Sus scrofa: one gene and its partners. The protein of the gene in region 3 interacts with the protein of the main gene of each other region in a pairwise test. Links are inferred from orthologs where the notes say so. Each region holds a gene or a part of one and is shown on either strand. Other genes may lie near its edges.

Evidence for each region.
Region 1: the proteins of PRKACA (region 3) and PRKAR2A interact in a protein complementation assay, tested with the Homo sapiens proteins (2 studies listed by BioGRID). The link is inferred for Sus scrofa from reciprocal best matches to the Homo sapiens genes PRKACA and PRKAR2A.
Region 2: the proteins of PRKACA (region 3) and PRKAR2B interact in binary tests that used the Homo sapiens proteins (3 or more experiments, as listed by UniProt). The link is inferred for Sus scrofa from reciprocal best matches to the Homo sapiens genes PRKACA and PRKAR2B.

What each region holds. Positions count from the first base shown.
Region 1 is NC_010455.5:31,511,653-31,522,243, forward strand, and holds the start of PRKAR2A (cAMP-dependent protein kinase type II-alpha regulatory subunit), read right to left. Parts: upstream 5,354-10,591; 5' UTR 5,353-5,353; coding exon 5,100-5,352; intron 1-5,099. UniProt on the Homo sapiens protein: Regulatory subunit of the cAMP-dependent protein kinases involved in cAMP signaling in cells. Type II regulatory chains mediate membrane association by binding to anchoring proteins, including the MAP2 kinase.
Region 2 is NC_010451.4:106,949,298-106,958,865, reverse strand, and holds the end of PRKAR2B (cAMP-dependent protein kinase type II-beta regulatory subunit), read right to left. Parts: intron 9,447-9,568; coding exon 9,372-9,446; intron 6,803-9,371; coding exon 6,737-6,802; intron 6,601-6,736; coding exon 6,462-6,600; intron 3,305-6,461; coding exon 3,171-3,304; 3' UTR 1,347-3,170; downstream 1-1,346. UniProt on the Homo sapiens protein: Regulatory subunit of the cAMP-dependent protein kinases involved in cAMP signaling in cells. Type II regulatory chains mediate membrane association by binding to anchoring proteins, including the MAP2 kinase.
Region 3 is NC_010444.4:65,078,259-65,088,338, reverse strand, and holds part of PRKACA (cAMP-dependent protein kinase catalytic subunit alpha), read right to left. Parts: intron 9,565-10,080; exon of another isoform or gene 9,550-9,564; coding exon of another isoform or gene 9,528-9,549; intron 4,410-9,527; coding exon 4,348-4,409; intron 3,893-4,347; coding exon 3,764-3,892; intron 1,838-3,763; coding exon 1,739-1,837; intron 560-1,738; coding exon 477-559; intron 1-476.

The DNA of each region.
Region 1 (10,591 bases), on a different chromosome or scaffold from region 3:
GTGGCTCTGGCGTAGGCCGGCGGCTACAGCTCCGATTCAACCCCTAGCCTGGGAACCTCCATATGCCGTAGGAGCGGCCCTAGAAAAGACAAAAAGCCAAAAAAAAGAAAGAAAGAAAAAAGAAAAGGAATAAGGAATTTCCACTGTGGTGCAACAGGATCAACAGTGTCTCTGCAGTGGCAGGGATGTGGGTTCAACCCCCAGCCCAGCGCACTGGATTAAGGATCTGTCATTCTGTAGCTGTGGCATAGGTCACAACTCTGGCTTGGATTCAGTCCTTGGCCCAGGAACTCCATATGCTGCCAAGCAGCTAAAAAAAAAAAGGGAATGAAGGGAGTTGTGGTGCAGTGGGTTAAGGATCAGCATTGTCACTGCAGTAGCTCAGGGTGCTGCTGTGCTGTGGGTTCAACCCCTGGCCTGGGAACTGTGGCCAAAAAGAAAAAAAAAAAAAAAAAGGAATGAAGCACTAATATATGCTACAACATTGATGAACTTTGAAAATATTATGGTAAGTTAAAGAAGCAAAAGACCACTTATTTTATAATTCCATTTATATTAAATGGCCAGGATAGGCAAATCCATAGAGATAGAAAGTAAATCAGTTAGTTGCCTAGAACTGAGGGGAATGAGAGTGTCAGCAGGCAATGGCTAAAGTGTGGGGGCCTTTTTGGGGTGATGAAAATGTTTTAAATTTATTGTGATGATGGTTTTATATATCTGTAAATAAATATACTAAAACTAGTGAATTATATACTTAAATGGGTAAATTATATGGTTACATGGAGTATGTCTCCATAAAGCTGTTACCCAAAAAAATGCTGTGAGACCCACAAGTATAAATGTTTTGTGGTCATTACAGAAGTGAATCAAGTTTAGATGCCTATTTATTGCTCTTATAAGGATGCAGTTAGACAAGTGTATTAATAAGTCTGAACTCTTCAGGCTTTCCTAAGAACTAAATAAACACTATAATACTTCATACTTGGTATGCTGTTTTTTTGGGGGGGTTTCATCTTTTGTCTTTTTAGGGCCGCACTCTCGGCATGTAGAGGTTCCCAGGCTAGGGGTTGAATCGGAGCTACCGCTGCCTACCTACACCAGAGCCACAGCAACACAGGATCCAAGCCGTGTCTGTGACCTACACCACAGCTCACAGCAACACCGGATCCTTAACCCACTGAATGAGGCCAGGGATCAAACCTGGAACCTCATGGTTTCCAGTCAGATTTGTTTCTGCTGTGCCACAACGGGAACTCTCTTGGTATGCTGCTTGATATCAAAACTGTAATTAACAAACTGTTAAAAACTAGCTAAGTTTTTTGAGTATTTATAATAGCATACTGTTTGATAAACTGAACTGGGGGTTAGACATTCAGGATCTTACAAAACAAAGTCTCTTTGATATATACAGTTCTAACACTACATATCCTATTTCTTATTTTAGACACTGTGGATTTATTATCTTAATGTTTGTAATCACTGGATATGCAATGCATTTCTTTTCCTGTCTTTTTAAAATTTGTGGTAAAATACACAACATAAAATTTACCCATTCTAACCATGTAAGTGTACAATTCATGGCATTAAGTACATTCATAATCTACATTGCACAATGTTGTATAACTATCAACTCTATCCAATTTCAGAACTTTTTCATCATCCCAAATAGAAACTCTGTTCCCATTAAACAGTAACTCCCCCATATCCACTTTCCCAGTCCCTGGTAACCTCTATTCTGCCTTCAGTCTCTATAAGTTTGCCTATTCTAGGTACCTCAACTAAAAGAATCATACAACATTTGTCCCTTTGTGTCTAGCATATTGCACTAGCATAATATTGTCAGGGCTCATCCATGTTGTGTCAGAATTTCATTACTTTTTAAGGATGAATAGTGCTCCGTTATATGTATATACCACATTTTGTATACACCTCTACACCATATTTATCCACTCATCTGTTCAATGGAATACTTGAGATGTTTCTGCCTTTTGTGAATATGCTACAATGAATACTGGCATATAAGTATCTGTTTGATTCCCTGCCTTCAATTCTTTTTTTTTTTTTTTTTTTTTTTTTTTGCTTTTTAGGGCCATACCTGCAGCACATGGAGGTTCTCAGGCCAGGGGTCCAATCAGAACTACAGCTGCCAGCCACAGCCACAGCCACAGCAACATCAGATCTGAGCCGCATCTTCAGCCCACACCACAGCTCATGGCAAGGATCCTTAGCTCACTAAGCAAAGCCAGGGATCGAACCTGAAACCTCATGGTTCTTAGTCAGATTCGTTTCCTCTGCACCACGACGGGAACTCCTGCTTTCAATTCTTCTGGGTATATACATAGCCATGGAACTGCTCAATCACATGGTAGGTAATTCTATGTTTAACTTTTTGAGGAACTGCCAAACAGTTTTTCACAGCAGCCAAACCATTTTACATTCCCACCAGCAATGAGCAAGGGTTCCAACTTCTCTATATCCTTAACAACACTTGCTATTTTCTAGTTGTGTTTTTTTTTTTCATAATAGCCATCCTCATGGGTGTGAACTAGTATTCCACTGTGTGCAGTGTATTTTTAGTCTATTATCTGTAAATAGAAGTTCACTCTGTGTTGATTTCTATAATTATATTTAGTACAGCAACTTAAGAGATATAAACAAAAGAATATTTATATACCAATAAAATAAAGCACAGTTACAAAGATTTAAGCCAACTCAATTTTGAAAAAGATTAATTAAAGATGACACAGAATGAAGATATAACACAAAACTTGTAAACTCTGTTTTACTCATCCGGGACTAACAGAATATTTGTTCTGTGTAAATAAAAATTGTCACAAAGCAGATTATAGCTTTGTGTTGTATAGTTATGACAGTGAAACAAATGTAGGATTCACTCCTGAAACAAAGCTTTTAAAAACATATTTATCCCAGAAATTCCCTTGTGGTGTATCAGGTTAAGGATCCAGTTTTGCCACACATTTATGGTGCAAGTCACAACTGTGGCACGGGTTCAATCCCTGGCCTGGGAACCTCCACATGCCACAAATGTAGCCAAAAAGCAAAAACAAATAAAAAACCAATTTATCCCTAGGAAGTTGTTGTCACTGTACCTATTTTAAAGATAAGTGAATTTAAAATCAAACAGGTTCCGCAGCTTTGTCTTGGGCCACCAAACACTTCTGTGGCAGAGATCTGGTGGCAGAGTTGGAAAATAATTTCTGATTTCCAGGTTCAAGGTGAAAAACCCATAATTTAATGTGTATTAAGTCAGGGGAAACCCAGAAAAGCAATTTCCACACTTGGTATGAATAAACTTAGGAAAGCTGTCCAGAAACTGAAGCTTACAACCTCTAACAGCAATGACCAATAATTAACTCCCTGCCAGTCTGACTTGAATATGGATTCAATTCAGAACTAGGTTGTTGGGGTTTTTTTTCTCCAATATGATCTAGCAACACTAAGTCTCTAACTCTGTCCTGCAAATGTTTTCACTTTTTTGTTAAATTCTGGCTGTCCAAGACTCACACACATGGAGAACAGACTTCTGACTGTCTAGGGGAGGGAGAAGGGAGTGGAATGGGCTGGGAGTGTGGGGTTAATAGATGCCAGCTATTACATTTAGAATGGGTAGACAATAAAGTCCTATGTATAGCACAGAGAACTATATCCAGTCTAGGACAGACCATGGTGGAAAATAATATTAAAAGAATGTGTGTGTGTGTGTGTATATATATACATATATATGTGTGTATATATGTGTGTGTGTGTGTGTGTGTGTATGACTGAGTCACTTTGCTGTGCAGCAGAAATTGACACATTGTAAATCAACTATAATTAATTTTTTTTTTTTTTGTCTTTTTGCCTTTTCTAGGGCCGCTCCTGTGGCATGTGGAGGTTCCCAGGCTAGGGGTCTAATCGGAGCTGTAGCCACTGGCCTACACCAGAGCCACAGCAACGTGGGATCCAAGTCGAGTCTGCAAGCTACACCACAGCTCAGGGCAACACCAGATCCTTAACCCACTGAGCAAGGCCAGGGATCAAACCTGCAACCTCATGGTTCCTAGTCAGATTTGTCCACTGCGCCACAACGGGAACTCCTATAATTTAATTTTTTAAAATGAGTTCAAAAAATCTGGCTGTTCAAAAGTAGGGTAATTCTATTGTTAAGTTGACAAAGCCTATGTTGAAGCAACCAAGGAAAATGGAATTGCTTTCTGACAACCCTGCTTAAATATATATAGAAAGTGTTACTGTTCTCTTTCCTGCAACCCGTATGCTAAAAAAAGTTATTGTTTACCCTCATCAAATTTATTTGATCCAATTATCTTAGCCAAATTTATATATATATATAAATTATTATTATATTATTATGTGTGTGTGTGTATATATATATATATATAGATAGATAGATATTATATATATAGGGTTTTTTTTCTTTCCAGGATCCGTACTTTAAGAAATGCATACTCAAGGACCAAGGGTGAAATGCTGGAATTTGCTTTAAAATACTTCAGCAAAGAGGAAAAAAAAAATACAGCTGAAACATCTGTGACAGATCTTTCAACTGTGTAATGGGGGTGATGGCATATAGGGGGTTCATTTCACATTTTCTCTCTATTTTTGTATATGCTCGAAGTTTTTCACAATAACTTCACAAAATGAATTCTTTCCAGACAAAGTTACCTTCCTGGCTATGAAATATGAGTCAGTGGATGTGAATGTTCTTGTCTTCGGAACGAAAGTGGGCGAAGGGTCTCCAGCAGAGGCCAAGCAGCCGTGGGCTCCACGCCCCTCCGGCCCCGCGCCAGCATGCGGGCCGAAAGCGCGCACGTTTCTCTTGAGCTGAATCTGACAACTCCCACTCCGTGCGCTCTACGGCTCGCAGGACTGCCGAGCTCAATTTGGAAGTGGCACACGCGGGGATCAAGCCCGCCGTTCGGGAACCCAGACAAACTCCGCTCGAGAGCTTCAAGGTCCCGGGCCCAGGGTTGCAGGCCTAGCCCCCGAAGCCCCCTCTGGAACTCCTAGAGACCCCTACCCGACCCGCCACTGCTCCTTCGACCCCCCCACCGCGACCCCTGGCCCAGCCTGCCTCCTACCGTCCAAGTCCTCGTCGTCCTCCGACTCGCTGTCCGCGATCGCGTCGGTGACAAGGCCAGAGCTGGGCTCTAGATCCTGGGAGCCGGAAGGAGGGGCGGCGGGTGGGGTGGAGGCTCGGGAGCGGGCCTCGCGCAGGCGGGTGAAGTAGTCCACCGCGAAGTCGACCAGGTCGGGTGGCTGCCGCCGCAGCACCTCCACGGTGTAGCCCTGCAGCAGCTCCGTGAGCCCAGGCGGGATCTGGATGTGGCTCATGCCGGCGGCGGCCGCGAGGACAGGCAGGACCCGGCCGCCGGCAGCCACTGTCTGGGCGCTCCCTCACGCCGGCCTCCCGCCCGGCACCCGCGAGGTCTCCTCACGCGCGACCTGGGCTGGGCCCCCCTCGCGCCAGGTCGCCCTTTGGCCGGGTGTGCGTTTCCGGGTCACGCCACCCTACGCTACTCCGGCCGGCCTGGTACCGCCGCCGCTGTCACTGGGCAGCCGCCGCCGTAGCCGCGGGTACCGACAGGCGGGCAAGCGGGACGGGCGGGGCAGGAGCCCGGGTTGTGACGCACGCTGCCGCGGGCGTGCGCGCTCCCGCCAGCGCTCTGGCCCTCAGTGCGCGTGCGCCAATAGCCCACCGGGCCTGCCGGGCAGTCTCTCCGCAAGGCGCAGCAATTAATGGTTTTCCCGTTAAGCGGGTCCATTGGCGCCGCTTATTTTTAATTTCTACTTTCAACACACCCTAGGATCCTCCCGTTTGCTAGCCCTTACTAAGTGCCAGGGACATAACCGAGAGTCAACGTAAAAATGCACATTACCACCTCAGAGTGGTTCCAGCTATAGTGCAGAGCAAGAGGGCCCACATTAGGGGATGGCATTTAAGCTGGCTCAGAGGCCTGGGCAGGATCTGGCCATAGGAGCATCTGAAGAAAAGCCATGTGGCCTAGAGGGCAGTAAGTGCAAAGACCTGGTAAAGTCAGAACCACCCAGACCTCAGGGTGGAATAGTGGCATGACCATAGGCCCCTCAGAAGTCTTGGCAGGAAGACTGTGAGATGTCAAAGGGAGAAGACCTTGTAGATAGGAGGAGTTTCAGTGATATAGTAATTTTGGAGCCAAAGGCAGATAAATAAGCCTGGAAGAGCTCAGAAGGTCAAACATGTTCCTTGAGAAAAGGGAATAAGACCCAGAGCAGGAGAGAAGGATCGAGATGGCAGAGGAGTTAAGATGTCTCCCTCACCTTCTCCCACAAAAGAAAGTTGTTTTTTGACAACTCCCACTCCATGTGCTCTACGGCTTGCAGGACCGCAGAGCTCAACTTGGAAGTGGCACACGCATCAAAAAAACAAAACTACACATAGAACAATTCGCACAGAACATCTATTGAACACTGGCAGAAGAACTTAAGCCTCCAAAAAAGGGCAAGAAACCCTCCACAAAACTGGGTAGAACAACAACAACAACAAAAATCAGAGAGAGCAAGAGAGAAAGAGAAAGTCCCAGAGCAGGAATGACCACTGTGCCTTTTTCTCCTCTTGAGCAATACAATCAGGATTCCCAGGACTAGGTCTGGATATCTCTTCTATCCCTATATTCCACCCTGGGCCAGCAGTACTTTAATGGTGTTGAGCAGACCACAAGGCACAGATATCCTTTGCCCCTGGGGAGAGGGCATAGGTGAAACTGGAGAAGCCATGCTATTTCCCAAGTTGCCCCTTCATGCACACCAAATTGGAGGGGAACAGGAAAAGGTAGAAACTTTTCTGGGATGTCCATACAGCATAAGTGCTGACCAAAGACTCAGAGGGCATAGGATAGAATCCTCCCTCTCTTTGCTGGGCCCAGGCAGAAAGTGACTAGATGTAGCCCTGGGAATCTGAAAGGCATTTGGGATGGTTACGCTCCACCTGGTAATTACCCAGCATTAATTAAAATCCTCACTAGGATCTCTCATATTAGCTTGGCACACACCCAGGAGCTCAGTGCTGCTGGGAACTGAGCTTCAAGAAGCAGGAACATCCAGCCCCCACTGGTATAGATGCTACCCAGCTCTAGGCCAGGCAGGCCTGTGATTCCAAACAGTGGTATCTCCCTGGATAAGTTTCTTGACTGCTGGAAAGCGTCCTGGACTGTCAAATTTGTGAAAGAAGGGGAGTTCCCGTCATGGCGCAGTGGTTAACGAATCCGACTAGGAACCATGAGATTGCGGGTTCGGTCCCTGCCGTTGCTCAGTGGGTTAAGGATCCGGCGTTGCCGTGAGCTGTGGTGTAGGTTGCAGACGTGGCTCGGATCCCGAGTTGCTGTGGCTCTGGCGTAGGTTGGCGGCTACAGCTCCGATTGGACCCCTAGCCTGGGAATCTCCATATGCCGCGGGAGCGGCCCAAGAAATAGCAACAACAACAACAACAAAAATTAAAAAAAAAAAAAGAATACTTAAAAAAAAAATTTGTGAAGGAAGGGATAGTATAAGCTTGTTCCCTACTGGGTCCTTACTGCACACTCTTGGGGCAGATTTACTGAATTAATGATGAAAAAGTAAATGAATGATAAATTTCTGTACAGAAAGAAGAGCCAATGAAACTGCTCTCTTGACCTCAGTCTCAGAACTAAGATCCTTTGCATCATAGCTGTGCTTCTGGAGTTCTGTCGTGGCACAGCAGAAATGAATCCTAGGAACCATGAGGTCATGGGTTCGATCCCTGGCCTTGCTGGGTGGGTTAAGGATCCAGCGTTGCCGTGAGCTGTGGTGTAGGCCCAGAAGCAGCTCGGATCTGGCGTTGCTGTGGCTCTGGCATAGGCCAGCAGCTGTAGCTCCGATTAGACCCCTGACCTGGGAGCCTCCATATGCCATAGGTGTGGCCCTGAAAAAGACAAAAAAAAAAAAAAAAAAAAGCTGTGCTTCTGATCTCAGAACACAAAAACTTCAGAGTTCTTGTGGTGCAGTGGAAACAAATCTGACTAGTAACCATGAGGTTTCGGGTTTGATTCCTGGCTTCACTCAGTAGGTTAAGGATCTGGCATTGCTGTGAGCTGTGGTGTAGGTGGCAGACACAGCTCGGATCCTGAGTTGCTGTGGTTGTGGCATAGGCTGGCAGCTGTGGTTCCAATTCAACCCCTAGCCTGGGAGCTTCCATATGCCACAGGTGCGGCCCTAAAAAGCAAAAAAATACACACACACATATATTAATACTTCATTAAGGACGGGCAATGAGGGGCGGAGGAGCAGTGTTCAACTCTTCTCTCCTTGTGAACAGACCGACCCTTTTTCAAGCTTTCCAGGAGTCAGACCATTCCCAGGAATCCTAAATGGGACTTCCATTGCACTGCCACACCTGGGGATCTGACTCACTTCAAGCAATCATACCACTAACCCTTTGGAAAGGCAAATTCACAACTCCAGTCATAGCCCATTTGTCAGGTCTTTTATTTTTTAAAGAGGGACAGGCACCTCTACAGTTAGGACTCTCACTTCAATTTCAAAATAGAGTCAGAAGAGGCTACTCCAGGACTGACAACAGAGCTGGCTGTGGGCAGGTTCTCCCAGTCACTCCAAGGAAACTCTGTCAGCTTCTGCCAGAAGGAGACTGGTCCCTGGCTTGTCTTCAGATGCCCCAATGCATAGCCATTCTATCCATCGAGCAAACATGGCATTCAAAGGCATCCTTGAACCTGGAGGAAATGGGGGCCACAGAAAGTAGGAACTTCATAGCTGCTCCTCACCTGTCTCCACAGACCAGCCTCAGTGAGGATGGACAGCCAGCCTCTAGGCCTAACCTGACTCCCCTCTCCTTGCATCTGGTCCCCAGAGCGGAGATCTGCCCTTTCTGGGAAAACCTCCAATAATAGCAAGGTGAATCCCAAAGGCCTTCATGAATATCCAGTTGACCTGGCAAAAGAATAGGGCCCTGGAGCAAGAGAGAATTCAAGGGGCCTGAGCCTCAAATCCCGAATGCTTACCCTTCTAGGAAGACCTTCATTCAAGCCTGACCTTCATTCAAGCCTGTCCAGCTGCACCACTGGGGGGTTACCATGGCAACTGAACCCACATGCAGCCAGTAACTGGGAAACAGTTGCCAGCACCAAATGATGGTGGGTGGAAAAGGTCAAAAGCAGAGATCCTAGAAAGCAAAAGAAATACATAGACCATGGTAGAGAAAAGGAGATCCTAGAGTCCTGATGGGTGCTCAACTCCAACCCAGTCCTACTCACTATCCAACGAGTCTTCATCTTGCACAGACTGCCACACCACCAATCTCAGGCAGACATGGACACAATGGGGCCAGTTCTCAAAAGTGTTTACAACTATGTATGCTGAGTAACACAGGTGGGGCATATGTTCAGCCCAACAGTGGTGAGTCTGGTGAAAATGAACATGGGTAGGGTACCAACTGCTATTTCCAATGCAACAGTGGTTTTCCTGTACTGTTGACAGATTTATTATTTAAAAAGTCCCCCCCCCCCTTTCTAGGCAGAAGGTAGAAGGCCAAACTCCCCTAGACTTCCCTGGAGGACAGCCTGCTCTTGGCCCATATCTCCTTGTTTATATACTTTTGGCCCTCTGACGCCCTCTGACCTCTGACCTATTGTGGGGGACTCAGCCCTAGCTGAAACACCTCCCCCATCTCTGCCCAAAGGGGCCATTTTTCTACTCCACTCCAGTCCTCTATCCATCTCTTGGGAACTGTTGATCACCTGATGAACTCTACATGCCAGCCCCCAGGTCCAGTCCTCCCAGCATATTTAGTATCTACCGATAGCAGTTTCTCCTTTGCCTTACAAGTACTGATGAGTCTCTAGTGGACAGGAAGGATAGGGAAAGGGCTATGGTTCTTCTGCCCTCACCCAAGCTGTCCTTCAGACTCCAGAATCCCACCTCCATGAGACCACTGCCTTTGGTCTTTTTTTTTTTTTTTTTTTAAATAAGTGTCCATGCTCAAGGGAGCAGTTAATTCACAGGCTGCCTATTTCTGCACCTGCAAGCCACCCCCTTGAAAGTGTGTCTCTGCAGTGAACATAGGGTCTACCTCTGAAATATCTGGGAAGAAACAGAACCTGGGAAGCAAAGGAGAGCCTGGCTGGAAAGCCACAGGCCTACATGCCGTCTGGAGCAAAGAAAGGAGGAGCCCTCAAGGAGCATTTGTCCATGGGACTTTCCCAGTGCCTGTTGGGACTGTGTGCCATCCCTGGCCTAACTCATATGACAGTTGCCTGGGCTTTGACCATCCAGTACAGCAGGCCTCTTGGAGCTTGGGTCAAGCAGTCCAAGGACAACCTCTGATAGCATCGTAAGACTTTCTTCAGGCCTGTGGACAGCCACACAGTATTCCGTTACCCACACTCTTATTATCAACTTGCCAATGATCTTGATAGGTCAGTTTACCCTGTCTGAGCTTTGGCTTCTACATCTGAAATTGGGGATAAAAATCCCTACCCATTAAACACTGAGTTACATGAGGTTAAAGAGATGAGAATGGACCCATGAAGAGGTTAGAAAGGGCATGGGGGTTTTCCTC
Region 2 (9,568 bases), on a different chromosome or scaffold from region 3:
TCGTCAGAATTCTGATAGTCAACATGAGGCTTTACCTCTCTCACTCCTTTATTTTAGAAGCCGGTATTCCTTGTCATTCGGTTTCTCTCTGTATTAATAATCCTTTTTCTCCTGTGTGTGTTACTATCTCTGTTTCTGCTCTAGGTATTAACATTTTACTTAGGAGAACCCCTTTTTCAGCTATTGAAGCTGGATAACACAGCTTATCCAGATGTATTACTTACCACACTAGGCTTATACATTCTTAATTTTCTTTAAGAATGCCGAAGGCCATCTAGTACTTGCTATTAATGTGACATTTCTTTTAAAAGTTAGAAAAATTACATCCATATTTTAAACATGCTTTAAAAAGGAAAAAGACTCCATGCTTAATCCTACATATTTCAATAAAATCTGAGTTCTTTGCTTCGTGCCCTGTGTTTCACTTGAAGGATTTTTCTTTTCATGGCTGCACTTGCAGCAGGCATATGCAAACTGACAGGTTAGGGGTCAAATCAGAGCTGCAGCTGAGGCCTATGCCACAGCAGCAACATTGGATCTGAGCCACATCTGTGATCTACACTGCAGTTTGTGGCAATGCTGGATCCTTAACCCACTGAGCCAGACCAGAGGTCGAACCTGCATCCTCACAGACGCTAAGTTGGGTTTTTAACACTGAGTCACCATGGGAACCCCACTTGCAGACTTTTTAAGCATTTTAAATAGTTTCCTAGCTAGCCAAGGTTTATAACAATAAACCAAATATATTCACACAATGTGCATCACCGTTAGTGTTTATGTTAATATATACACATCAAGCTCTAGTTCTTATTGATAAGAAGGGGACACACACACACACACACACACACACACACACACACACACACACGCTCTCTCTCTCTCATTCTGTATGCATTTATATAAAACAAAGGGAAGCACCTTGGTGTTGAAAGACTGTCTTCCCAGAATTCTTAGTCACACATCCTGGAATGAACCATCAACAGAGAATTTCCAAATAGTAAGGACTCTTGGTTGGTGATTAAACAATGAAGTCCACAACTCAAACTTGAGGTGTTTTAATTACTGAACACGTAAATTCCCTAGTTAACCAGATTTATTTGGTTATTCTGAATGGCCAAATTAATTTGCAACATACCACAGCTATTTATATCACACATGGCCCAGAGTTAAGATTTTCAAAAACCTACTGTCCTACAGAGCCATACTTCCTTGCTGCATGATGCCCGGGGCCTAGCTTTCACATATGCCATATCTCTGTCATGCTTTTCACATGTATAGTGTGCTTTATGGAAGTAAGCCAAAACAAAACAAAAAAAAAACAAAAAAAAACCCCACCTCATTAAAAATTTTATTATAAAAGTGTGCTTTATTATAAGGAAAATTTAAATATAACCAACAATACTGAAAATAATGTAACTGGCATTTACAGTCTTGGTCAGAGTTCTTTATTAAACAGGCATTTGTAATTAACAATCAGCTTATGCAACAAAATAGGTAACTTGAAAAAGTGAATAAAGTTAAGAATACAGAATAATGAACTAGGAACATGGGGTTCTTTGAGTTTTTTTCTTGTTTAGCAGACATGGCTTTTAAAACCTGAAATAGAAAACAAGTCCTCTTCACCTAGTAGGCTCTCTTCCTACTTCCAGGTAATGGGAAAGTTTGGAAAATTGTTGAAGTGTTCTAAAATGTGGCCCGAAGGTATACTTTATATGCTTCTTATATAGACATTATCCATTTTAACATATTTTAACCACGTCTTCATTACACAAGCAAGACCATAAACATTCTCTCATAAGACCACACTAGCCACAGAATATTTTTACTCATGTAGATATTTCTTTGAAAAGATTCCCAAAGTGAAATTGCTCATTTAAAAGTGAACAACGGATTAGAAATAATCTCATTCGACACTGGGGTCATGTAGGCCTAGAAATCACATAAGAGTATACTGATTTGGCTGAATGTCATTACATTCATTTGATGTAGCAGAATAATTAAACATATCAATTGTCAACAAAAACCTATGCATTTGGGTTCACTCTGCATTTCTGAGAGTCTACATTAGCGCAAATGGCAAGGCCTAATAGTGTATTCGGAATGGGGAGAAATTCCATTTATCTTTATTCCATTTATCTTTGTTTTGCTTACAAACATTTATTTCTCCCACCTTGGAAACCCATGGGAGTTTGCATGGGAGTCTGCAAAGGAATGTATTATGTACGCTTAGCGGAGAACCCAGAAATATCATGTAGGCATGTTGATAAGGACCCCAAATATTTTTGCTATAGGAGACATTTTTCTCATCATATGTAATAAGATCTTAGGCTTTTAGAAGATAAGTAAATTTAAAGAGCATTTTAAAATACTGGTCACATTAAATGGCAAACTCAAATTTTTAAAGATAACGAATACAGAGAATGGCAAAATGAAAAAAGGAAGCAGGTATATGAGGAAAATAACGACCTCTCATCTAAAAAGACTCTTCGCTATTATCATGACTAAACTGCCTGTCCTTAAAACCACTGGAATATGTAGATTACTGACGTTATGCCAAAGAAGTCAAAATGTACTTTATTGCAAAAATATAAAAGGTTTTAAAATTGCATATGATGTTTTATACCATTTCACCAATAGGCCAAGGCCGGGGTATAACTTATCAAGCCAGGAAAACTCTAAAACAAAAATGATTAAATTGTACTTACTACATACAGTGAGTTGTAAAAAGAATGTAATGCCATGCTGTATAGCATGATTCACTGCCAAGTTCTCTCTTACATGGGCGTAGTCATAACCTATCAATCCAAGTAAGTCAAAATGAACACACATTGCCTATGATAACATCCTTTAATTGCATTCTTAAACACAGATACTTTCAATATATTACAATTATTGAATAAACCTTTCAGTCAAATCATAATTGTGTGGAGTAGTAGAAAGTCATTTTATCAGTATGTTGATATTTTTTTGATCTACTCTTTTAGAAAGTGATGTTAAAGTCTACTGACTATTAAATCACTACTCTGTTTACCGATACATTGTCAATGTAAAAAAAGGAAAAAACCTGAAATCACAGAAAATGCTTGGCATCTACACAAACACATTCTCAGTGGACTAACCACTACTGTGTAACTGTGTCACTATAGGTCTTTTTGCTCCATACTTTTGCTTCATGCAGTGGGTTCAACAATATCCATGTTTGTTCCAAATAGGGCAACTAATTGTTCTTCATAGGTAGCGATGTTCCTTTTCATAATTTCCATGCAAGGTCCCAAAAGCCTTTCAAATGCTTGCACATCCATGGCTAAGAAGAAGGGAGAAGAAAAAGAAAAAAAATGTTCTTTGCAAATCTGCAGAATTTCTTAGTCATTAATGGTACCTATTCTGCATATGTCAATGATGCAATGGCATTTTTAGATACATATTAAATACAAGAGTGTGCATAAAGACAAAAACATTCCACTTCAAAAAGGAAGCTGCCAGTGTCCTTTGGCAATAAGTTGTGCAATTCTAGCTTGGTGGGTGGTTCCTGGTCCAGGTTAAAAGAATGAAGGAGGGACTGTTACAGCAAGGCCTCAGAATTTTATTTTTACCTACTTACTTACTTACTTATTTTTGTCTTTTTGCTTTTCTAGGGCTGCTCTCGCGGCATATGGAGGTTCCCAGGCTAGGGGTCCAATCGGAGCTGTTGCTACCGGCCTACGCCAGAGCCACAGCAACTCGGGATCCGAGCCGCGTCTGCAACCTACACCACAGCTCACGGCAATGCAGGATCCTTAACCCACTGAGCAAGGCCAGGGATCGAACCCGCAACCCCGTGGTTCCTAGTCGGATTTGTTAACCACTGCGCCACAATGGGAACTCCAAGGCCTCAGAATTTTAAAAATAAAATAGTTTTGATGTCACTAACCTTAGTAATTAATATGAACTCCTTCAAGGTGGCAAGGGAGTGTTTTCTGTCCTATTTTCCCTCTTCAGGGTTTACAATCCGATGTTGTGAAGACCAAATGTTACTAATCTTTTATAATTTTTACTTTTTTACACTATGGTCTAGGCAATTCAAAATAGCCAAAATAATGATTTTATCCAGTTCTATAGATATGTGCTCTATGTTGCTTAGCTCACTTGGCTCAAGCATTTTTTAAACTGAATTTATAATATACACATGAAAATACGATCATACTATCATAGAAATACAAATTAAAATACTTTTTCTTTTGCCTTTCAAATTTGCAGAAGGAGAAAAGGCAATGTTTACAAGAACAGAGTGAATGGACATTCTTGCACCGCTGGTAGCATGTAAATAAGTACAAATAAAAGTGATCTGGCAATATGTATCAAAAACTGTAAGAGAAAACCCACTTCCAAAAACCATTTCTCAGGAAAAATCCTATTCATGGAAAAGGGGTCTATGCATACACTCACACAAAAAAGCCCTCTCCTGGGAGTTTCCTGGTGATCTGGTGGTTAGGATTCAGCACTTGCATTGCTGTAGCCCAGGTTCAATCCCAGGTCTGGGAATCGAGAGCCCCTATCAAGCTGCTGCGTGCCTCAGCCAAACAAACAAATGCCAAAAAACTATCTCATCCCCCCAATAGAGCCAAAACACCCAAAATATTTAACAGTGGAGAGTGATTCAAAATTTGCATATATTTACCTAATCTTACAATTTGATGTAATAAATAGGAGAAAATGCGTAAGCAATAATGAATGAAAAAAGCAGTTTACAAAACTCCTTAGGACAGAAAACCCATACAAATAAAAAAAGATGAGAAGGAGTTACAACAGGAATGTGGAAACCACTGAGGGGTGGGGGTGGTATTGGTGACAGTTTTTCCTATCTTTTCAGTATTTCTCAAATTTAATGTGACTATAATAATTTATTATAGAAAAAAATTACTGGGACTTCACTCACATCCCCTTTATTCCTGCTGTCTAATACTTCTCCTCAGGGAAACTACCTCTCAGCTTCTAACTGTCTTCTTTTTTTCATCCACGTATAACACTTGATTAATATTATACTTCAAACGTTTTAAAAAGCAACTTTTCTAGGAAAACTGTGAGGATACTTGCAAGTCGTAAGAACACTGAAAGCTCAATTTATTCTATGGGACTGTGAATAAAGAGCACAGAGTGGCTAATTACTTTTGAATGAGTTTTCTTAAAGAAAATATCATCTAGATTGATATCTTCTGAATTATCTTTTTCATTATTAATTTCAAAAAAATTATTTTTGGCCGTGCCCAGGACATGTGGACATTCCCAGGCCGGGGATGGAACCTGTACCACAGTAAGGACCTGAGCCGCTGCAGTGACAACGCTGGATCCTTAATGCGCCACAAGGGAACTGTCATTTTTTTTTCAGTATTAAAATAAGTTATTTCTCATATATAAAATCTCAGCTATAAACAGATGTCTTTTGGCTGAAGATGGCATTTCTGCCAAGCTAATATGTGGTACACGGATGTAATAAACAGCTAACCAAGATTTTATTGGCTCTGACAAACTTGAACCTTTGTTCTGTAGTACTAGGACGAGAAGTATGCTAGGGAAATTCCAACTTTCCCTGTAGAGCTTACAATACTTCATAAATATACTGTTTGAGGCTTTTTTTTTTTTTTTTGTCTTTTTGCCATTTCTTGAGCCGCACCCATGGTGTATGGAGGTTCCCAGGCTAGGGGTAGAATCGGAGCTGTAGCCAGCCGCCGGCCTATGCCAGAGCCACAGCAACATGGGATCCAAGCTGTGTCTGCGACCTACACCATAGCTCACGACAATGCAGGATCCTTAACCCACTGAGCAAGGCCAGGGATCAAACCTGCAACCTCACGGTTCCTAGTCGGATTCATTAATCACTGAGCCACAATGGGAACTCTCAAGGCTTCTTTTTTGAGGAACACAGTGCAGGTTATTTATTTGAAAGGTTAGATATAAAATTTGGTACTCAATGACATACTAAAATAAGGTGTTATTTCATGCCTATATAAAAGAACACGAGATAGGCTGCGAAAAAAATTTTTTTTGCTTTCTTTTTTTTACGGCGGCACTGGAGGCCTATGGAGATTCCCAGGCTAGGGGTCCAATTGGAGCTACAGCTGCTGGCCTACAGCACAGACACAGCAACAGGCAATCTGAATTGCATCGGTGACCTACACCACAGCTCACCGCAATGAGGGATTACTGACCCACTGAGCAAGGCCAGGGATTGAATCTGCATCCTCATGGATACTAGTTGGATTCATTTCCACTGTGCCATGAGGGGAACTCCCTAGGCTGTGGAAATTTTTAAAGAAAAGTGGCTTCCACAAACTGATTCTCTAATGGGATGAATCTTAGCCTTGTATTTTACAGGGACCATAAAACCCGTGAACCCAGTAAAAGAATCCATGCAGTGTGCATATGTACAATGCAGACAGAACAATTTCAACCAGGGGAAGCAGGCTGGTGGCCGAGCATCCTACCTAAACATTTGACGGTTCCGATGGCGTGTGCGGAAGCCGCTCGGGGTTTGTTCGTTACCAGGGCAAGTTCTCCGAAGTACTGTCCCCGGGAACACCGAGCAATTTCCACGGCACCGTTCTCCTCCACTTCTGACTTCCCCTGATGGGATAATTGAAAGTCTTAACGTTTACTTGGCTTAAGAAAAATAAAACTTCACCTGAGTCTCAACATCAGAAAGAATATCCTCTTTCTTGCTAATAGTATGTGGATTTCTTAGAACGTAATGGACACTTACCTTCCTTTTCATGGTAATTTTGACTTCTCCAGATTCTACAATGAAAAAAGAATCAGCCAAATCTCCCTATCAGAATAAAGCAAAAACAGGGGGTGAAAATGCAAATCTAGTTGACAGCAATCCTGCCGCCCATCATCCCCCTGAAATCAATCTGACCCCAAAGTACAGATGATCTGCCTGAAAGGTGAAACCCACGGGAACAGGTGTACCCCTTCTAAATCGTTACGACAGAATATTATATCATAACGATTTCATTCGTAAAATGATTTGAAATGATATACTCTCTACCATAGCAGTTCTGCTAACAATTAGCCAAGACAATATGGCAAATAACCCTGTGGTAAAAATTTCGCCCAAAGTGCAGCCTGCAAAAAGGCACGTACGGCATCAGAAACGGCAGTCCCCTTCCCTGGTGGCATCTCCTCCGTGGGCGGCTCCTGCGCTGCTGCTCAAGAAGCGCTAAAAGGTGCCCCTGTGCCATCCTAATCTAACACGCCTCGGCCGTGGCGAGCTCAGATAAACCAGCTGCTGCCAAAGAGTTGAGAAAGCAGGCAGACTTCCTAGGAAGCAGTATGTGGGTTTGCAGCACAGGGGACCAAACTGCAGAAGCCAGTTTACCCACAATCCACCCCAAGGCCCCAGAAAAACTTCTAAAAGAAGGAGTTGCCATGTCTGACAACAGAGCCCTGTTCTCTTGCTTTGAACAAATGGCATGACCTACAGTGATGCCTTCTGAATTAAACTGTATTAATACGAAAGAAAACAGACTCTTCTGAGCCTTTCAAAGTGATTTCTGGAGAAACTCAGGCATTTCAAAATTCTTTAGTACAGTTCAGTAATTCGAACAGATCAAAAAATAGTTGAAAACTGTGAGAACCCATAGGAGAAAATGAATGGACTGATGCACTTTTAATTAGCAAGAAATAAACACTTGTAGAACAATTTCAGTATGTTTAGCTATTAGCGGTACAGTGCAGGAAGAAATACAAAAATATAGTCTTTGAATGTTAAAATAAGATTTAGAATTATATTTAAGTTTTTATATGCTCTGTATCACATTTACTAAAGAATAAATTCAACCTTCCCTGTAAAAAAAAAAAAACAAAAAAACAAAAGCAAAAATTCTTTAATACAGTTAAAGAAATGTGGTATCAGATTACATCGCAAAAATAAATGCTGAGTCTAGATTATAGTGTAGTGCCCACACGTCTATTTATAAATGCTTAAAAGGCAACTAATGCCTAAAGATACCTGTACAGTAGAAAACTGACAGAACAATGTAAACCAGCTATAATGGAAAAAATAAAAATCATTAAAATAAAACAAATAAAGATACCTTTTTTAAAAAATAAATAAATAAATAAAGATACCTTTAATAAACTCTTAGTGGACCTATAACCTCTCCCTTACATTTCTGTATCAGGTTTTCCTAAGAGCTTCATTTTAATTTGCAAGTAAATTTTGTTTTCAAAATGTGCTCGAAATGCAAGCGAAACTAGCGAATTAAGTTCTGGGGGCTGTGTCAAGGTCAGTTTTCTAGTCTGACGCTGTACTAGTGACACAAAGACGCACTGGCAGATACTGGGGGAAGGGTGAGTGGGACTTCTCTTTTTTCAACTTCCTGTGAATCTGTAGTTATTTCAGTTATTTGAAAAAATCATTTCGAAAGTCTACTTTACAATTTTTCCATTTCTATCGCAGAAATTTGGCCTTGTTCTCTAATTGGATCTGTGTCATCCAGATCCCTGAAGGTGCTAATCCCTATGTATGGAGGGGCAGGGGGCACTCATTCAGTTACTGGCTTATCTGCCTTCTACAGTAATTATTCTTTTCTTAGCCTCACAGACCTTATGTCTTGTTTCACATACATCAAGAGACAGTATTTTAAATAAAGATTATAATCCAGTATAATATCACAATATAAAAATCACACAACTGGTTAAAAATCTGTTTAAATCATTCCCTCAATGCTTCAAAAATGTAACTACAAAAAGTATTACCACTGGTATGCTTTATCTGTGAACTTCAACTGTCCTCATAAATCCTGTTTCTTGGCAGCTCTATTCTAACCAAGGTACATATGTATGGCTGCTGGTTCCAACTGGGATCTTAGAAAAGCATTAGGGGTTGGACAGGATGCTGGTCCCATTTAGTGCCTGGAAGTCGGTACAAAATATGGTGCAGCGAGTTCCCTTCCTGGTTAATTTTATCAGGGAGCAGCCCCAGGAGACTGAACGGATGGTGCAAAAACTCTCTATCTTCCAGTGCACCCTCTGAGTCCTTATTAATAAAACTCATGGAACGATTACCATTTTCTTCCTCTTATAAATGACTTTTTATTCTTTATATACACGTGGCTTTCATGTCAGGTACAAATATAAAATGATGCAGAAATCCATTTGATGATTTAATACATATTCATTAAGAGTTAATTACAAAAATACAAATATTCAAATAGCTTAATGGCTGTAAATTAAACCATTTTTTAACAAATCATTTGGTAGAAGTAATATTCATTTAATCAATCACTACATACTAATTATACACACACACACGAAGCATTTAGCAAGCCTTAAAATGTCTAAGAGCCTTTCGGAAAATAACTCTCAACTGAATTCCATAAACAGTATTATACCTGAGCAATGATTTGTTCTCCATCGTTGTACACTTTGGTGCCTATTACATCCACCACTTTCAGGCGTTCAGAAACCTACAAAGGAAAAGAAGATTATACAGCTGACCCCTGAACAACATGGGGTTAAACTGTGCATATCCACTTACATGCAGATTTTTTCAATAAACAGTCACCCCACCCCCACTCCCATCCATGGG
Region 3 (10,080 bases):
TGGCTCAGCAGTAACGAATCTGACTAGTAACAAATCTGAGTAGTATCTGTGAGGATGCAGGTTCGATCCCTGGCCTCACTCAGTGGGTTAAGGATCCAGTGTTGTTGTGACCTGTGGCGTAGGTCGCAGACGTGGCTCGGATCTGGTGGTGTTGTGGGTGGTGGCTATGGCTCCAATTGGACCCCTAGCCTGGGAATTTCCATATGCTTCAGGTGTGGACCTAAAAAACAAACAAACAAACAAACAAAAAAGAAATAAAATGAAACGACAGGATAAATTTAAAAACAATATAAACTCGCCCACTCACATGGAGACACCTAAGTCACTATGCTTGTTTTATTTCGTGGTAGTTGAGACATCAGAGATTCCTCAGCTCAGGGAGAGGCAAGAACCCATAGGAACCTGGAGAGGCCACTTCCATAGATGACGCCCATGGACAGCCCCAGGCCCAGTGTGGCAGGGGGTGGCTGGCTCACCTGAACCTCCCGATCCTCCGCAGGTGTGAGAACATCTCCCCACCAGGCACATATTCCATGACCATGTATAAATTTGAGTTGTCCTGCGGGAAGCAGCAGCTGATCAGAGCCCCATTCCCCAAGCCATGGGCCCCATCTGAAGGCCTGCCACCCTGATCTGGCGGATGTTCAGAAATAAAATGACAACAATCTTGGCTCCCACGAGAAGCACGTACTAAGTGCTGGGCGCTGTGCTCACTGATTACCTGTCTCATTTCCTCCCCGCCCCCTTTTTTTTGGCTGTGTCTACGGGCATGCAGAAGTTCCCAGGCCAGGAACCAAACCCGTGCCCCAGCAGTGATGACACTGGATCCTTAACCTGCTGAGCCACCAGAGAACTCCTGTCTCATTTCCTACTGCCTGGAAGAAAGAAGGGATTGCCAGTATCCTGCTTATTGGGGCTAAAAGTAATAAGGGCTGGCTAGAGGTACATAAGGGACCTGGCCAGCATGCCCGGGCTGCAGAGAGAACCCTGTAGTGGTTCATGTCTGTGACTATCTTCGGCGAGGCTCTTGGGGCCACAGTTTTATCATCTGTCAAATGGGACCAGGATGGACTACAGAATTTCTGGGCACCCCCTCTCCACAATAAAAGTATGAAGCCCCTTGTTAAAAAATTAATTATGAATCTCAAGACAGTGGCAGCAGTGCCTTAAACTAAGTGTGGGGTCTTCATGACTGCTGGGGTGAGTGACCTAAGCTGAGTGACCTTTCCAGCTCTTGCAGTCACCACTTACGTCAGCACCCCAGATGGCTCACACAGGGCTTGGGCGATTTGATGATGTGCTTGGAACTGTCATGGCAACCCCACCATGTAGAAACTGCTATGATCCCCATTTTACAGATGAAGAAACAAAGGCTCAGGGGCATTCCTCGCCAGGGTCACACGGCCAGGAAGTACATGGATTTGAACCTAGGCTGAGTGGCACATTTTATGGCCGTGTGTCAGGTTCTTCCTGTAAATGGAGTGATGAGTTTGAGGAATGTTACTGAGGTTGGGTGACTTGCCCAAGGTTATCAAGCTAGAAGTTGTCAGGCCTGGTTGAACTTGGGTCTGTCAGAGCCCTAAGCTGACTTGACCCCTAACCCTGGGTCTCCTTCTCCCCCATCAGTGGGCCTGCCTTCTTGGGCAGCTACTGGTTGTTGCTGGCCCAGCCTCAGTTCTGGGAACCGAGAGGCTGCACCACCCACAGTGGCCCTGGGTGGCGGCCGCTGGGACCTCACCTTGAAGGAGAACTCGAGTTTGACAAGGAACGGGAAGTTGACTGCTTGCAGGATGCGCTTTTCATTCAGGGTGTGCTCAATCTGTTTCAGCTTCACCACCTGTGGTGGGAGGAGGGGAGGGTGGAGAGGAAGGGGTGTGAGAGGGTCTTCGTCTTCCCTGCTGCCCCAAAACAGGGGTGCCAGGGCTGGGCCCCTGCCTTCATCCAGAATCATTTGAGTGCCTGGGGCCTGTCAAGCCCTGGGCTGGGAGCCTGTCCCACATGGCATGCAGTTCAGAGCAAGAACACATTCAGTCACCAGGTCACAGGGGTCAGAGCTGTGGTGGGGGAAGCTCAGGGCCTGTGGATGCCCAGGTAAGGTGCCCAGTGAAGTCTGTGGGAAGGGGGGGCATCAGAGAAGGCTTCCTGGAGGAAAGGGCAGCTGAGCTGAAACTGGACAGGCAGGAGGAACACTCAAGGGGTGGAGGGATTAGAAATACCTTTCCTGCATCTAGAGCACCCCCCCACCCCCCACCACATCCACCTAAAACCTGGGGTAGTTCCTCCTTGGCCTCAGCTGTCCCCAGGAGGTGCCTCACACGCTGTGACAGGAGCCTGGAGGGGTACGCCCCGAGAGCATGCTAGTTTGGATGCAGAGAGAGTAAGTGACTTGCCCAAGGTCAAGTGTAGCTAGTCAGTGTCAGGCCCGCCTGTCACAAGCAGGCAGCCTAGCCCTTTGGTCAGCGCTAAACCACTGCACTGGGGCTTTCTTCTGCTTTGCTCACAGCTGCAGCCTTTGGGTCTACACTTGCACTGTCCAGTAGAGTCCACACTAGCCACTCGTCTGCTGAAATGTGGCTGGCTGAAACGTGGAACTGAGTTTAAAATTTGAAGTGTCTAAAATTTAAAAACTGATACTCAGTGCAGGCACCAGACAACTTTCAAGCCTGTTTGGAACAATTTGGGCTGTGTAAGTCTGTTTTTTGGTTTTTTTTTTTTTGTCTTTTTTGCCATTTCTTGGGCCGTTCCCACGGCAGATGGAGGTTCCCAGGCTAGGGGTCGAATCGGAGCTGCAGCAGCCCAGTCTATGCCAGAGCCACAGCAACACGGGATCTGAGCCGCGTCTGCGACCTACACCACAGCTCACGGCAATGCTGGATCCTTAACCCACTGAGCAAGGCCAGGGATCGAACCCGCAACCTCATGGTTCCTAGTTGGATTTGTTAACGACTGAGCCACGATGGGAACTCCCTGTGTGAGTCTGCTTTTTCAACTTCTCCACTTTTTCTTGTCTTTCCAGTGAAAATTAACATCTGAATGGAGACATAAGTGTAAAATACACACTGGATTTATAAGACTTAGTGTGGAAGAAAAATGTAAGACATCTCATGAATGATATTTCTACACTAGTTACATTAGCTGAAATGATAATATTGTAGACATACTGACTTAATTACAACACGTGGTTAAAATGAATTCTACCTGTTTTTTTAAAAAAAATTTTAATTAGGATTCTAGAAAACTTATTTACTTTATTTATTTTTGGCTGTGCTGGTGGTGTGCAGAAGTTCCCAGGCCAGGGATCGAATCTGCACCACCATAGCAACTCAAGCCACAACAGCGACAATGCCAGATTCTTAACCCGCTGAGCCACCAGGAAACTCCTAGAAAATCTAAAACCGTATGTGGCTTGTGTGATATTTCTCCTGGATGGTGCTGCTCTAGAGCAGTGCCTGGCAAAAAGCAGGGTCTCAAAAATATTTACAGAAAGAAGGTCTGTGTAAACATCACTTCCTCCTGACTTCCTCCATACAGGCGAGGTGTCTGACCCCAGGTCTAATGCCTAAATTTGCATCAGTGGCTACCCAGGAGGGGAAGCTTCCTGAAGGAGCGTGGTACCCTTTCCTGCCCTTGGATTTGGCACATTTTGGAGGTTCAGGAAATAGCTGGTGAGCAGATGGGTGGGAAGAGCGCTGCAGGTGGTGGGAACAGCCCAGGCAAAGCCCTAGTGGGTCGGACCAGGGCCTTGTGGCAGGGCTGGGCTCACCTTCTGTTTGTCGAGGATCTTCATGGCAAAGTGGTTCCCAGTCTCCTTGTGCTTCACCAGCATCACCCGCCCGAAGGAGCCCGTGCCGAGGGTCTTGATTCGTTCAAATTGATCCAAATGGGCTGTATTCTGTGGGCGGAGGGGTCTGGGGGGGTCAGAGAACAACCCCTCCCACCCTCAACCTACCCTGCAGCCTGAAATTTGGGGCATCCCTTGTGCCACCAGCAGAGGGGGCCCTGGGGACCAGGTGGAGTCAGGAGGGTGAGGACAGGGGGCGGAAAAACAAGATGGCAGAGGGCGCATTCCTTAAGGCTGGTGGCAGGGGCCAGATCCGGCCCTGGCCTGGGGCCCAGGAGCTGCTGGCAGCTGCCTGGGGGGCAGGGGCCGCCAGTTGGAAGAGGGTGGTGGGTGGGGGAGCCTGGCAGTGGGTGATCAGGTGCCTTTGCCCAGGAGCCTCCGTGGGCATCTCAGGAGTGAATGAGGGCAGGTCTGGAGCCCTCCTTAGGGCCCTAGAAATCCCAGTCATGCCAGGGATGCAGTTGGGTATCAAGGGGCCATCATGTCAGCCCTCCCAGGGGGCTTACCTGAGCAGGATTTTCCCATTTTTTAAGAAAATCTTCTTTGGCTTTGGCTAAGAACTCTTTCACTGAAAGGAAGAAAGGTGAGAGAGAGAGACCCCATCTTGTTAGTGTGGGTCCGGGCTAGTCCTGGGGAGGCGCTGCTTTGTGGAAAGTGGGGTGCAATTGTCTCAACCCAGAGCTTGACCTTCTTCCAGTGCCTTCCGGTGCCCTGGCTGAAACTGAGGGTAACTTGGGGCGGGCGGGCGGCGGGGGCCCTGATCTGGGCTGGGGCCTGGGTCCTCTATACTACAGAGAGCTGGGATCCAGCCTCAATTCTGTCCAAAACGGAAGACAGGGTGACTCGAGGGGTCACTCTCAGGGGGACAGAGAGCGGCGCCCAGGCCAGCCCACCCCCACTTGCCCCAGTTCTGACTGACATTCCACGGCCAGGGACGACGCCAGCCGTGGTATTTATAGCCTCGGATTTGGCTGCTCCTCTGGCCCCTTCTCTGAGGAGGCCAGGCCTGGGGTGGAGGCCTCTGGGGCTCGGGTAGCAGGCACCCTTGGGGGGGGGTTCAGCTGTTGCCTTGGCCCCCAGCTGGCCCCATTCTCGCCTTTGCCAACAGAGGGGCCCTCATTCCAGAGCTGGTTCAAGGGAAGCCTCGCCTGATGCCCACCCCCTACAGGCCCCTCTGCACCCCAAGGCAAACATCACCATTCAGCTAGCATTGAAGACATCTTGGCGGACCCTGGGCTTGCTGCTTTGTGTCCACTGACTCATTTGGTTCACTTGCCAACTTTCCTTTTAGCCATTCTCCCCATTTATCACCCTAGTAAACTGAGACCTGAAAGAGGCATTCCGGCCAATGCAGAGGTGGCCTGACAAAGTAGTTAAGGCCAGGACTCTGGGATAAGATCAAGTTCAGATCCTGGCCTAGTCCCCGATGAGCTGTGTGGCCTTAGGCAAATGACCTCACTTCTGGGCCTCAGTTTTCCTCTGTAAAATGGGAATGATAACACTAATGACCTGGCAGGGTGGTTATGAGGACTGAATGAGTTAATTTTGGCAAAGGGGGTTCGGATGGTGGCCAGCACAGAGTTAGTGCCATATAAATGTCAGCCATTCAGATGCAAGCTATCTTTTTTTTTTTTTTTTTTTCCTTTTTAGGTCTGTACCCACAGAAGTATGGAAGTTCCAGGCTAGGGATTGAATTGGAGCCGCAGCTGCGGGCCTACACCATGGCTACAGCAATGCCAGATCTGAGACGCATCTGCAACCTGCACCGAAGCTTGTGGTAACACCAAATGTTAACCCACTGAGTGGGGCCAGGGATCAAACTGGCATCCTCATGGATACTAGTCTGGTTCTTAACCTGTTGAGCCACAATAGGAACTCCCAGATGCGAACAATTATATATAGGATGGATAAACAACAAGGTGCTAGTGTAGAGCACAGGGAACTATATTCAATATCCTGTGATAAACCATAATGCAAAAGAATATGAAAAAGTATGTATACGTTTAATTGAACCACTGCTGTACAGCAGAAATTAACACGTTGTAAATGAACTATACTTCAAGAGCATTTTCAAAAACTTAGCTATTAATTTTAAGTATTTCTTTTTTTGTCTTTTTAGGGTGGCAGCATATGGAGATTCCCAGGCTAGGGGTCCAATTGGAGCTGTAGCCGCTGGCCTATGCCAGAGCCACAGCAACTCGGGATCTGAGCCACGTCTGCGACCTACACCACAGCTCACGGAAATGCTGGATCCTTGAACCAATGAGTGAGGCCAGGGATCGAACCTGCATCCTCATGGATGCTAGTTGGGTTCGTTAACCACTGAGCCACGGTGGGGACTCCTCTTTTAAGTTTTTTTTTTTTTTTGCTTTTTAGGGCTGCACCCTTGGCATATGGAGGTTCCTAGGCTAGGGGTCAAATCAGAGCTACAGCTGCCAGCCTATACCACAGCTGCAACTACACAGGATCTGAGCCATGTCTGTGACCTAAATCACAGCTCACAGCAACGCCAGATCCTTAACCCACTGAGTGAGGCCAGGGATCGAACCCGCAACCTCATGGTTCCTAGTTGGATTCGTTTCCACTGCGCCACAAAAGGAACTCCTTAAGTATTTTTTGAATGGAGGCATAAAATCCAGGCCAAACATTGAGGGCTCACATCTTAAATGTGCAGTCTGAAGGATTCTCAGGTTAGGGACTTGCCCTTGTAACCACCACCTGGGGTCAGGCATGCTGTTACTCAGGGACCCTCCCTGTGTGCCATCTCTGTGCTTAGTGCTTCTATGCTTCACTCCTACCCTGATGGCTCAGAGCTATTACTCTCATTGGATAGATGAGAAGACTGGTCTCAGATCACTTCCTGGACCCCTCTGCCCACGAGATTAACTGCTTGGCTTCTGACTGGTCCCAGGTTACCAGGGTGGCCCATGGACGGAGCTGTCCTCAACCCTGATGTTCTGGGGAAGTTACCATCCTGAGGAATCCTGCACACTTGTACTTTGACCTTGCCTGTCACCTATATGCAGTGCCAGGAATCCCACCCAGCCTTGTGGGTAGCCACCTCTCCACTGTCCCCAACGCTCCCCCTCAGCATTGAAGGAGAAGAACCTTCCCTGAGGCTCCAAGGGTGGCAGATGGAGGAGAGACTGTTGGTCAGGAAAGCCCTACAAAGAATGACTGGGCAGAGTCAAGAAATGGCCAAGAGTCCTAGGCTGGTGCCTGAGTGGGCCACCAACTGTCTTAAGACCTCTCTGAGCTTGGGGACTACACCACCACATCCAGTGCTTTTGCCAGTAGAATCCTTTTTTTTTTTTTTGGCCATACTTGTGGCATGTGGAAGTTCCTGGGCCCAGGACTGAACCTGCACCACAGCTGCAACCTGAGCCTCTGCAGTGGCAATGCTGGATCTTTAACGCCACAAGGCACCATTTTTTTGGACACACAACAACTTCCTTGGAAAACGCCAAACATCCACGTTGAATTCTGGATGAAGGTGGGAGTGAACGTCCCTCTTGGGACCCTACTGTCACCTGCCCTCGGAGGCAGAGAGGGGTGGGTTTGGTAGGAATCCAGGAGGAAGCCTGGTCCTGCTTCCCCTTCTGCTTCCAGCTGTCCCTGAGTACAGCCGCATCCTGCTTCACTCCGCACCCCCCACCCCAGACCTGGTGTGTCTGTGCCTCTGTTGCTGGTACCCCACTAAGAGGCTCTACAGGGTGCCTTGACCCTAAACACCCCTGGTCTGGCCTTTCAAAGTATGGAAAGGCCCAGGCTGTGTTCTCTCTGGTGCCATCAGCTTTCCAGATCTGGGGATGGGGCACAGGGTGTGGCAGTACCCGGAAAGTGGGCAGATAAAGAGGGATAATGATGGGGGAACCCCAGCCCAGAGCCCCCATACTCACCTCTGCTTCCTGCCCCTCCCAGCAGAGGGTACAGTGGGAGGGGGGTGGTGGAATGGGATGGGGTGATCTGGGGCCCATCTGCTCCTGGCCAGGGAGGCTCAGGGTGCTGGCTGTGGCTTAGGTGCCCAGAGGGTATGGCGCAGGTAGCTCAGGAAACGGACAATCAGGTGGCCCCAGAGAAGCAGCTGCAGCCACAGCTGGAAGGTGGTCTCCGAGTCCTCCCAACTGCAGCTTCTGCCTGACCCCAGATCCATCCCAGGACTGCCCTGAGCTCTCCCTGGAACCTTCCCTTTGCAGGGAAACCAGGAATACGCAGAGCCTCTGAGCTGGCTTCCTCAGGAGAGCCTCGGGGGACAGGGGAGGAGGAGCTGGTTGCCAGGGAAGCATTTAAAGGTACCTGCTCCCGGCTGGCCAAGGTTTGTAAAGGCCCTCCTTGGCAGGAGGCGGTGGGAAGATCCTCCTGAGGGTGTCCCTCCTGGCTGGCCTGCCTGCTCTGGGGGCGGGGTGCTACAGCTGACTTCCTGTTCCAGGGACTTCGCTGTTTCCAGGCTGCCAGGCCCTGCTGTTCCCAGGGGGTGCTGGTCTACCCAGAGGATGGCACCCAATGTGCCCAGGGCAGTGCCCACTGGGCAGAGGGGAAGGAGTTAAAGCTCAGGTCCAGGGAAGCAGCCAGGGCCTCCCTGGGGGCCAAAGAGGCCCCAGAGCTCCGTTAATTAGCTGAAAGAGCAGCTGGAGAGAGAGGCAGGGGTGGGAAGGGGGGCGATGAGAGCCACCCTATCTCCTCCCTCAAGGGCTCTTTGAACCTGGAGCCCCCAAATTCTGCCACTTCCAGGGAGAAATTCTGGCTTTGTCTTGCTCTGGTGCAGGGGCGGAGAGGGGAATGGCATCCTGGGATGTCCTTGGCCTCTGTCAAACCTTGCCCTGTGCTTGGCTTTGCTCTCAGCCATGAAAGTCCAAACCGGAAACGAAACGTTAAACCCAAGGGTGGGGGAGGGGGAGGCAGCCTTGACCATCTTCCTCCTTCTTTCCAGATCCCCAAAGAAGTGGAGGGTCGGTGGCAGCTTCTCCCAAGAGTGCCCAGCACCCGTGGCCACTGCTGACAACAGGAAGTAGCAGAGAAGGGAAACCCAGCCTTCTGCTGGCTTTGGACTGCCCATGTCTCCCACAGAAGGGGTGCCAACCTCCACCCCAGCCCGGATTTGATTTGGGCTCTCAGAGAGAACGTCTCCCAAAAAGCCAGGGCCCCAGCTAGAGCCAGGAGCCCAGCCTCAGACCCCTCAGATAACAATCTCAGGACCCTCTGCTCCCCAAAACCTGGTTGACGGGGGAGGAATTTACCCCAGGGTGAATTCTGGTGCAGCTCTGGGCTGGACCGTGCCCTAATCTCAGCTGGACCCCAACACTGGACTGGGCCAACCTCCAGTCCGATGGACCCCCATTCTGTACTGGACCATTGTCCATTACGAACCAGACTCTTATCACTGAGCGGACCAAACCCCATTCTGAGCTGAACCATGACACTGAGCTGGACCACCCTACTGCCTGGGTGTAAACTGGACCCCCACTCCAGTAGATCATCCCCTCTTGTCTGAACTGAACCACCCATCCCCCCTACTCTCCCCCAAGCACCCCAGCCCAGAGTTGTTACTAAAGGAGGATTTCCAGGGCCAGCCAAGGGTCCACAGACTTCCTCTCTATCTGTTCCCTAAATCCTACTGCTATCCTTCCCTGACTTGAGGGTCAGAGAGTGCTTGAGAAGTTGCTATAGCAACAGGGCTCAGCCTCACCATCCTTGGGGTTGGAAGCCATCACTCAGTCTTCCTCACAGGGCACCAGGACAACTACGGTGGCTGGGAAGGCTCATGAGACCTGCTGCACCAGCTTGGCTGCCCATTACCCAGACCCCTGCCTGTAGGGGGGGCCAGGGAGTTTTGGGGTGGTGGCAGGAAGAGAGACCCACCCTGGGGGCCAGTGGGTGAAGTGGAGGGCCAGAAAAGAACCCTCAAGCTTCTCTAAGCTCAGCTGGGCTAAAGGAAAAACTGCCTTGGCAGGACCCTCTTGGGCATCCATACAACTGCCAATGCACGATGGTGTTTGGCCCTCTCAGACTTCTGTAGGATGTTAGAGGGCCACAATTCTTCCCATTCATGGACCTCTTAGGGGCAGTTCACACTCTCAGAGCCTGGATCTGTCCCTGGAGCCTGGGGGGCTGGTGGTGTCTAGAGGGCTCCCCCCTTACCAGCTCTGTCCCTTCTCCCATGGGCCAGCTCTAAGGGGTGCCTCTGGCTAAGGCGGCCTAGGCATGAGCCCCACTTGGCTGCCTGTCTCCAGGGCCTCGTG